Linked DNA regions of Cricetulus griseus. The protein of the gene in region 1 interacts with the protein of each later gene in a biochemical or structural test. Links are inferred from orthologs where the notes say so. Each region holds a gene or a part of one and is shown in the gene's direction. Other genes may lie near its edges. The genes, in order: Adrb2, Grk2 and Grk6.

Region 1 (3,158 bases):
CATACCTAGAGATAAAACTCCCATATGTGTAAAATAAATGAATTTAACTTAACTTTTAAAAATGTAAAAGGAAAATATTACATTTTCATTTTCAATGCATCCTCATATAACAAGAAAATGATGCCACACTCCCAAGAATTAAAAATAAAATAAAACCACCTAACTCTCCCCTAAATGTGTAAATACTTGAACTCCTAATGAAAGACAAAGGGTAAATTACTGCCTCGATGCCTGCAAGGTCTCAAGGGGGGAGGATGCCAAAACATATTTTTCAAAAAGTGTGCAGAGAAACTGTAGCTATTGAAGTCACCTCCTGTGCTCTTGCCAAATAACTGTAAGGGAATATACTGAGAGTCTGGGAATGGGAAAAGAGGGTGTCATTTATAAGTGCTTCAGGAGGATGCTACCTGGATGTGGACATGGGTGTCTGAATGGTCCGCACACCACATCTCCACATGAGCTCTTGTGTACATTTCTTTCTGCATGTTTCTAGGTATTCCTGTGTTTGTTTTTAGCCACCTTTCTGCATTGGACCAGGAGACAGCTGTCGTCTCCAGCGTGAGTGGGCGCGGGTGTGTCTCGGTGTCTGTGGCTGTGGTGCGGCATAAGTCTGAGCATGTCCACGTCGGCCGAGTGCGTTTGTGCCTGTGTATGCGTGTCCGAGTGTGCTTGTTCAGTCTCTCTTCTCTGTTCCTAAAGGAAAATGCGCTGTGTGCCACCTGCATCCAGAGACCTCAGCCCGCAGAGGTGACCTGCACGGACAGGTAGAAGAACTTCCAGACTGCGCTTGGTTGGTGGATCGTACAGCAGCTCCAGATTTCTGTCTCTGAGGCCCCACTAGGGTAGCTGGGAGGGAGTGGTGGCTTGGCCTCCGGGGAGCACTGGGGCCCCGCCCGGACCAACCCCAGGAGGAGGCGGGCTAGGCAGGGAGGGTTGGCCCTTGGTGCCTCGCCCCTCCGGGCATGCGACCGTACCATTGGCCCAAAGTTGTTGCACGTCACCAAGCAATTCCCCTAAAGTCCGGTGCACATAACGGGCAGGGAGCATTGCGAGACTGCTTCTCCAGCGTTCAGGCTGCAGCTAGCAGGCACCGCGAACCCAGAGCACCCCACGAGCTGAGTGTGCAGAACGCGCCCCCAGCACAGCCACCTACAGCCGCTGAATGAAGCTTCCAGGAGTCCGTCCCCGGCAGGCTGTGCCCCGTCGGAGGTGCACCCGCTGAGAGCGCCAGGGCGCCCAAAGCCAGTGCACTCACCTGCTAGTCTGCCAGCGATGGGGCCACCCGGGAACGACAGTGACTTCTTGCTGACACCCAACGGAAGCCATACGCCGGACCACGACATCACTCAGGAACGGGACGAAGCGTGGGTGGTAGGCATGGCCATCCTCATGTCGGTTATCGTCCTGGCCATCGTGTTTGGCAACGTGCTGGTCATCACAGCCATTGCCAAGTTCGAGAGACTACAGACCGTCACCAACTACTTCATAACCTCCTTGGCGTGTGCTGATCTAGTCATGGGCCTAGCGGTGGTGCCGTTTGGGGCCAGTCACATCCTTATGAAAATGTGGAATTTTGGCAACTTCTGGTGTGAGTTCTGGACTTCCATTGATGTGTTATGCGTCACAGCCAGCATTGAGACCCTGTGTGTGATAGCAGTGGATCGCTACATTGCTATCACATCGCCATTCAAGTACCAGAGCCTGCTGACCAAGAATAAGGCCCGAATGGTCATCCTAATGGTGTGGATTGTATCCGGCCTTACCTCCTTCTTGCCCATCCAGATGCACTGGTACCGTGCCACCCACAAGAAAGCCATCACCTGCTATCTCAAGGAGACTTGCTGTGACTTCTTCACGAACCAGGCCTATGCCATTGCTTCCTCCATTGTGTCTTTCTACGTGCCTCTAGTGGTCATGGTCTTTGTCTATTCCAGGGTCTTCCAGGTGGCCAAAAGGCAACTCCAGAAGATAGACAAATCTGAGGGAAGATTCCATTCCCAAAACCTCAGCCAGGTGGAGCAGGATGGGCGGAGTGGGCACGGACTCCGAAGGTCCTCCAAGTTCTGCTTGAAGGAGCACAAAGCCCTCAAGACTTTAGGCATCATCATGGGCACATTCACCCTCTGCTGGCTGCCCTTCTTCATTGTCAACATCGTGCATGTCATCCAGGAAAACCTCATCCCTAAGGAAGTTTACATCCTCCTTAACTGGTTGGGCTATGTCAATTCTGCTTTCAATCCCCTGATCTACTGTCGGAGTCCAGACTTCAGGATTGCCTTCCAGGAGCTTTTATGCCTCCGCAGGTCTTCTGCGAAAGCCTATGGGAATGGCTACTCCACCAACAGTAATGGCAAAACAGACTACATGGGGGAGGCAAGTGAATGTCAGTTGGGGCAGGAAAAAGAAAGTGAACTGCTGTGTGAGGACACCCCAGGCACGGAAAGCTTTGCGAACTGTCAAGGTACTGTGTCTAGCCTTAGCCTTGATTCCCAAGGGAGGAACTGTAGTACAAATGACTCACCACTGTAATGCAGGCTTTCTGCTTTTTAAGACCCCTCCCTGACAGGACACTAACCAGACTATTTAACTTGAGTGTAATAACTTTAGAATAAAATTGTATAGAGATTTGCAGAAGGGGAACATCCTTCTGCCCTTTTTTATTTTATTTTTTTAAGCTGCAAAAACAAGAGAGGGGGAGAAGCTGTATTTGAGTGCTTATTTGTTTCTTGTGCAGTTCAGTTCCTCTTTGCACGGAACTTAAAAGTTTCTGTCTGAAGCGTGTTGGTCCTAGAGGACTGTCTGTACGTTTAGATGATTTTTCCATGCATCTACCTCATTGGTCAAGTGTTAGGGTATACTATTATTGCTGCTAGTAATTTGTATCAGAAGGAAGTTTTCCTTCCTGTACCCTTGGACTTGACAATCCTGTGTCTTGGACCTTTCTGCTGTGAATATATACTCTCCCCCGCTCCACTTATTTGCTCAAATGGAGTGTTGTAGGCAGTGATCTGAGGGACAGCTTCAGCTGTTTTTTTCTGAGCAAAGTCTAAAGTTTACAGTAAATAAATTGTTTGACCATGATTTCATTGCACCTGTTTCTCCAAAACCTCTTGACTCTGGAGTGTCCTTGTCTTTCCCACTGGAAACCACAGGTAACT
Region 2 (4,193 bases), on another chromosome or scaffold:
AGGATGAAGCAGGGGTCAGGGGAAAACAGCCTGGGTTTTGACTTGGATGTCCAAGGATATCATCCACTGATAACCCCCCCCCATCTGATTTGTATTGATCCAAAGCAGTGAAGAAGAGCAAAGGAAGTAGGGGTACTTGTTTTGCTGGTCTGTGAACTGGAACAAGAATCAGTTTCTAAGTGTCCAGAGCTGGGTTTGAAGAGCCCAGGCACGTTTGGAAATCAGAAAGGTGCTCTTAAAGATTTTATTTATTTATTATATATACAACATTCTGCTTCCATGTATGTCTGCACACCAGAAGAGGGCACCAGATCTCATAACGGATGGTTGTAAGCCACCAGTGGTCGCTGGGAATTGAACTCAGGACCTCTGGAAGAGCAGTCGGTGCTCTTAACCTCTGAGCCATTTCTCCAGCCCCTAATTTTTTTTTTTTTCATTTGTTTGCTTGAGATATGGTCTCACTATTTAGCACTGCCTGGATTTGACCTTACAGAAAGACACCTGCCTCTGCTTCTCAAGTAATGGAAGGACAGAATAGGCAGTAGTTGGTTACGATAGAAGGAGGCACTTAGAAGGCCACCAGGCCTGAGGATCTGAGTTCCATCCCTAGGCACCCAAGTGGTTAAAAAAAAAGAGAGCACTGATTGTCAAATTGTCTGTCCTCAGACCTCCATATGTGCATAAGTAAGTAAATAAAAAATAATGGAATAAAAAAAAAGTTCAGCCCTCATCGGAGTGTGGTTTGGTAGCTCACACAATTTAATCCATCTCAGCACTTGGGAGGCAGAGGCAGGCAGAGCTCTGTGAGTTAGTGGCCAGCCCGGTCTACGTGGTGAGTTACAGGACACCAAGGACTACATGGCAATCAATACCCTGTCTAAAAATAAGGAAAACAACAGCAAAATGTTCATAGTATTGTCACCCGAGGTCTGGGGTCCGAGGTGTTTATGTTAGTGTGATCCTGAGAAAATGTTCTGAAATCTGAGTCTGGGATCTTGGTCGGTGTCAGGATTCTTATTATCGTCCACGGTCTGGGGTCCACGCCCTGCTGGGAGCATGGAGTCTAGCCTCCTGAGGAGATGCGATCCCAGTTTGTGGCCATCCCCTAGGGTCGTCCCGGAGTCCTGGGTGCAGGACTCAGGTAACAGCCCAGGACTGCGATCCGCGTCCCTGTCCCGGACCCGAGCAGCGCGGCCTCTAGGGGGCGCTGCCGCCCGCCTGCCCGCCGCCCGCCCGGCTCGGCCCCTCGGCGGCTCGCTGGCGCTGTGCGCGGCAGCGGGGCCGGAGGCGGCGGCGGCGGCGGCGGCAGCTCCGGGCGCGGGCGGGCGGAGGGAGGGCGGGTGGTGGTGGTGGTGGCGGCGGCGGCCCCCGACTGCAGTCCCGGCGGGAGCGGAGCGCGAGCCGGGCCGGGCCCGAGCCGGCGCCATGGGGCGGCGGCGCCTGTGAGCAGGCGACGAGCGGGGACCGGACGGGGCGGCGGCGGCGCCGAGGCCGACAAGCCGCGCGGGCCGAGCCGGGCCGAGCGAGCGGGAGCGGAGCGGAGCCTCGGGCGGCGGGAGGAACAGCGCCGCCGCCGCCAAGATGGCCGACCTGGAGGCGGTGCTGGCCGATGTGAGCTACCTGATGGCCATGGAGAAGAGCAAGGCCACGCCGGCCGCGCGCGCCAGCAAGAAGATCCTGCTTCCAGAGCCCAGGTGAGGAGCCCGCCTCTGCCGGGCCCCACGCGCCGACCCGGGTACCATGCCCCCGGGGACCCCTCTCTCCCCGCCGCCCCAGGCCCCGGGGACTCCCCCTGCTCCGGTGACCCTCTGCCCCAAAGACCCCACTATCCGGGCCGCCCCAGGACCCGGGGACCCCCATACTCCCGGATCTTCTGCTCCGGAGACCCCACTATCCGGGCCGCCCCAGGACCCGGGGACTTCCTCTCTCCCTGCCACCGCAAGGCCCGGTGCCTGCGAGCCCGGAGCGCCCCAACTCCAAGCTCCCATCGCGCTCTCCCGGCCGCGCTACCGCTTCCTGTATCTCACTGCTGGGCCTGGTCGCTGTCAGCCCCTAGCTCTGCTGCAGCTGTCTTCCCACCCTGGGTGCTGGACTCTGCCCTCCACCCTTTGTGTCCCCTTGGGGTTCCTTTCCCCAGGTCTGCCTCTGTTTACCCAGTCTGTTGCTCCTGCTCCCAGCACCCCCCTCTTTGGCGTTCCACTGTCCTATCCACTCCCCTCAGAGTGGGTAACACTCTTGTTCGGTTTGTGGAGTAGGGAGGACCAGTCTGGAGACTTTTTTTTTTTTTTTTTTTTTTTTTTGCCTTCTCATCTGGTAGTGTCACTGCCCCTGGCTTGGATTTGAGAGTACTTTGGGGGGACAGTGCTGTGTGATGTGTCTACCATCCCTCGGGGCTGTGCTCAGGTGAGGGTAGTCCCTTCTCCGTTTTCTCCCCATGTGGTGCCTTGTAGGTACTTTTGACGAGGGGACAGCCCATCCTACAGTAGCTGGACCGTGCTGCCACCTTTCTGCAAGACAACTGATGTCATTGCACCTGGTATCAAAGTTTAAACTGTTCAGGATGTGGGTGCAGAATCGGGCAGGATGTGAGAAGTGTAGCTGGGGTTTGTCCAGTATATTGTGGCAAATAGACTTACCTTCCCATTTGAACTCACAGGAGACCAGAGAGTGAGTGAGACAGGTGTAGTTTTGTGCCCATAGAACAAGGTTTGTGTGTGTGTGTGTGGCGGGGGTACAGCTCCCCCTTGAATGGCTTGTTCAGTGTCACCCAACCTCCACATCAGGGCTTCTAGTTGTATCTTTTGTTCACTGTCTTGACCTGAAGGATGGCCTGGATGTCCTGCGTCTGGAAAAGCAGATGTGTCTTCTACACATCAGGATGCCTTATGGTGGATGGGTGGTGAGGTCAGTCCCAGAAGTTTTTCATGACAGTCCCTTTAGCAGCCAAGAATTGTTCCTGACTTTACCACCATACTCTTATCACAAGACATGGGGCAAGTTCTTTTCCTTTTAGACCTTGATTTTTACCTCTGTGAAATGTGGGCAGTATGAAATAGGCCTCTGGTGGCCCCAGTTGTTGGAGCAGGGTTGGCAGCTTACAGGGATGCTGTTGTACACTTACCATGCCCCTCCTCCAGTGGCTGCTTACTGGGTTTCGGGTTGACTGAGAATCAGGCCCGTAGAGGAAAAATTGGTCTGCGTTTCGAAGAGGCCGTTGCCCCCCCCTTTTTTTCTAAGACATTTGCAATCAGATTTCTCAAAACAGGAACTAGACGAGTGTCAGCCAGGGCTGTCTAGGGGCAGCGGCAGTTAGGACGAAATGAGTTCAGAAATGACAAAACTTCAAGGGAAGAGAAGGGGGAGGCTTGCAGTTAGCATCTAGGGCACTGTCTATCTCTTCTGGGCAGCCACAGCCATGAGAGTCTTGTGCAGGTGTGAGGTCTGCAAAGTTTGAGGTGGTGCCTTTTTCTAGAACTCTCCATATTTGGATAATCTTTCCCCAGAATGCATTTCTCCTACTGGGCCCTGCCTTGAGTGTCTTCTGCAGGCATTAGAACCCTGATGAATGAGCTGTGCCTCTTCCCCTTTCCCCTTTCATTTGGTGGCAGTGGCGATGTGACAGCAATGAGAATGGAGTTTTTAATAATACATTATTTATTTTGACATCTGTCATCTTAGTTAATCCAAAAACCATCGTGTGAAGTTGGCAGGGCCATGCCTATGTGGACTAGTTGTAAACAGTACCAGGATGGGGTGATAGTCTGTGAGCAGAATGGAGGCAGGCTGTGAGTTTTAGGAAGCAACGACGGCACCATAGGCATTGGTACAAGGGCAGGGCACCATCAGCACTATGTTGTTGATCCAGTTGCTCAGTCTGGATGGTGAGGAACCTCTTAACTCTGAACACTGGTATGCTCAGGCCAGGAAAGGACCTGGAGTCACCCTGCAGTGGCCGTGGCCCTAGGCATGCAAGCCTCCCACGATGGAAAGCAGTCACCTTTGTGATGCATGTTGCACATTCTTGAGGCATATGTCTCTTGCCCTTGAAGGTAGTTATGGTTGGGTCTCACATTTGCCCAGTATGTCCCAATTTGTGAAGTGCCTTGTCTTCACAACTCTGGTATGCTGCTGACCCAGCAGGTGGTATTTTCCTCATTTACTGATGATCAAGGTCTTGAGGCATGCCATACGAA
Region 3 (3,044 bases), on another chromosome or scaffold:
ACCCCAACCACCTCTGCCCTGCTACAGCTTCTCAGCAAGGACCCTGCTGAGCGCCTGGGGTGCCGTGGAGGTGGTGCCCGCGAGGTAAAGGAGCACCCCCTTTTTAAGAGACTGAATTTCAAGCGGCTGGGAGCTGGAATGCTGGAACCGCCTTTTAAGCCTGATGTAAGTCCCACTCATTCTTGCTCATGGCCTGGACAAGCCAGGACACGGGGCCTTGGAGCAATGGCCTGGTCACTTTCAATGCAAATGTTGAAAAACCCATCTAATGGTTTGGGCTGCCCTCCAAAAAGTCTATGTATGAGTGTTTGTGTGTGTGCATGTGCATGGGTGAAGCCCCACATAGCGTGAGTTTTAGTTCAAGTTGGAATGAGGGTGGACATGGGATGCTCCAGGAACTTGATTCCTCTTTGTCCTGTGGTTGGCTAGTCTTCCATGACAGGCATCTTTTCCCAGGGAGTGGCATTGCTGGACCAGGAGCTCAGGCTCAGATCTTAGCTAGCCAGCTATCCGGTCGACAGAGAGCAACTCTTGTTCAAGAACTTGAAATGAAACTCTAAAACTGTTTGCTGAAGAGATTCACTGGACACTTGGATCACATGCCTTCCGGCCCAGTGGGAGCTTGCCTCCTTCCCACAAGTTTGTGGAGACTGGGTCCAGCTTGGTGTCTGTCAACCACGTGTGTTTATACATTTAACAAATTCCTGAATTCCATATATGTCAGGCTTTGAGATAATGAGGTCCACGGAGCCAGGCCCAGCCTTATGCTCTAATGGAAACACCAAAATAAACCAGCAAGCAAGGAGAGCTTTCAGGTGGTCCTGAGTGCCAGAGGAAAGCGAGTAGGCCAGGAAGGCAGCTATGAGGGGGTGTAATCACTCTCGACGGGATAATCTCTGAGAAGCTGCTGGGAAAGTAGACCTGAGGAGAGAATCATGCAAAGGTCTGAGGACATGAACATTCCAGACAGGCACTGAAGCCCTAGAGCGGGACCAGCCTAGGGACATGGAGCGGCATCTATGAGGCCAGTGTGACTGGAACAATATATGCAGAGCAGGAGCAATGCCATGTTCTAAGGATGGCAGGGTACCTTTGGGGGTTCAACCTGATTTGAGGTGTGGGAGTGGGTCAGAGAGGAGATGAGCGGCCAGGGAGGGAGCCTGAGTGATGGCTCACATGGTAGACGTCACCCACCGAGAGGTCGAGCATCGTCAGTGAGCTGACCCTGCTGCCTCAGGCTGGAGCTGCTGCTCAGGTTAATTCCCGCTCTGTGCTTGTCCTCTAGCCCTGAGATGGTCACACTGCCTGTGGGTCATTGTTCAAATTTAGAAATAAAGTCAGTATCTTGGAACTTAACATTAGAAGCAGTGGATGAAAATGCAAGCTCAACAATGCTTTTTTATTTTATGATTTGTTATGATGTATTTATTATGTATGCAGCATTCTGTCTGCATGTTTGCCTACACACCAGGAGAGGGCATCAAATCTCATTACGGATGGTTTGGTTGCTAGAAATTGAACTCAGGACCTCTGGAAGAGCAGTAAGTGCTCTTAACCTCTGAGCCATCTCTCCAGCCTGCTTTTTTTTTTTTTTTTTTTTTAATTAAAAAAAAAAGTCTGCATGTGTATCTCTGTGTGGGTATATGAATTCAGGAGTCTGTGGAGGCCAGAGGTGTCGGATCCCCCTGGAAGAGCAGTGAAAGCTTTTAGTATCTGAGCCAGCACTTGGCTGGTTTTTGTTGTTGTTTTGTTTTGTTTTGTTTTTTTGAGGATACAACGTTTCTCTGTGTGGCCCTGGCTGTCCTGGAACTCACTCTATAGACCAGGCAGACCTTGAATTCAGAGATCCACCTGCCTCTGCCCCGAGTACTAGGACTAAAGGCTATCATGCCCAGCTGACAATACATTTTTATCAGCTATTGAGATGAAATCACAGTTAACCCATGTAAAGTATGCAGTTCAGTTGAGTCATGTGATTGTCACCACGTAAGATCAGAATGTTTTCACCAGCCTCTCCAGAACCTAAACAAAACCCTACGTCCATTAGGGTTCAGAGTTCTTTCCTCCTGTCCCAGGAAACCACTAGTTCTCCTATATTCGTCTACTTTGAATAATTTAGCTATGTGGGTATATGGGGTCCTCTGAACATCGTCCTCTGTGACTGGCTTCTTTTGCTAAGAATGCTTTTAGGGTTCATCCAGGTTGGAACATAGGCCAATATGCCATTTATTTTAAAAGCTGAATAATATTCTATTATATGGATATAAATTCTATTCATAGTTGACATGAGGGTATCTTTGGGGTGGGTAGGGCTTTCAGGAATAATGCTATTTACTTTTACTTTTGAGATGAGGTCCCACTGTGTTATCTTTAAGTTTTGAACTGGCAGACTCAAGCATTCTCTCTGCCTCAGTACATGTATTGGTATAAAATTACAAAGTCATATATGGTATATCTTGTAGGGAGCTTGGACTTTTCCAGGTCAGACACACCATTTTACAGGATGATCATGATAGTGTGTGTGTCAGTAGGTAGGCTGGTAGATAGTGTGTGTGCTGAGGATAGAACCCAGGGCTCAAGCATGCTGAGATACGCTGTACACCACTAACTACACCTCTAGCCACGTGATAATGTTTTAATTGACTTCCTTTGTGGTAAGATTTTGAAAGCAGATGGTAGTGGCGGCGGCGGCGCACGCCTTTAATCCCAGCACTTGGAAGGCAGAGGCAGGCAGATCTCTGAGTTCTAGACCAGCCTGGTCTACAAGAGCTAGTTCCAGGACAGCCTCCAAAGCCACAGAGAAACCCTGTCTCAACGCGCCCCGCCCCCCCCAAAAAAAGATATTTTTGAATGCAGTGTAGAGATAGAAAAGAATTGGCCTTCAAATGCAGAGGCCAACTCCCAGTAGGAACTGGGAAGACATGGGAAAAACATTCCAGTACTGGACATTTTAGAGTGGAGACCTCTCCAGTCCCTATAGGGAGCCAGTACTCCTCTTCCCACCCCGGCCCCAGTCACATACCCAGGTAGTCCTGTACAAGCAA

What was found.
Region 2: the proteins of Adrb2 (region 1) and Grk2 form a complex in vitro, tested with the Homo sapiens proteins (2 studies listed by BioGRID, with this or other methods). The link is inferred for Cricetulus griseus from reciprocal best matches to the Homo sapiens genes ADRB2 and GRK2.
Region 3: the proteins of Adrb2 (region 1) and Grk6 form a complex in vitro, tested with the Homo sapiens proteins (2 studies listed by BioGRID, with this or other methods). The link is inferred for Cricetulus griseus from reciprocal best matches to the Homo sapiens genes ADRB2 and GRK6.

What each region holds. Positions count from the first base shown.
Region 1 is NC_048595.1:176,928,208-176,931,365, forward strand, and holds Adrb2 (beta-2 adrenergic receptor), read left to right. Parts: upstream 1-1,272; coding exon 1,273-2,529; downstream 2,530-3,158. UniProt on the Homo sapiens protein: Beta-adrenergic receptors mediate the catecholamine-induced activation of adenylate cyclase through the action of G proteins. The beta-2-adrenergic receptor binds epinephrine with an approximately 30-fold greater affinity than it does norepinephrine.
Region 2 is NC_048596.1:54,951,749-54,955,941, forward strand, and holds the start of Grk2 (beta-adrenergic receptor kinase 1), read left to right. Parts: upstream 1-1,380; 5' UTR 1,381-1,581; coding exon 1,582-1,694; intron 1,695-4,193. UniProt on the Homo sapiens protein: Specifically phosphorylates the agonist-occupied form of the beta-adrenergic and closely related receptors, probably inducing a desensitization of them. Key regulator of LPAR1 signaling.
Region 3 is NC_048596.1:274,442,843-274,445,886, forward strand, and holds part of Grk6 (G protein-coupled receptor kinase 6), read left to right. Parts: intron 1-27; coding exon 28-165; intron 166-456; coding exon of another isoform or gene 457-498; exon of another isoform or gene 499-1,430; intron 1,431-3,044.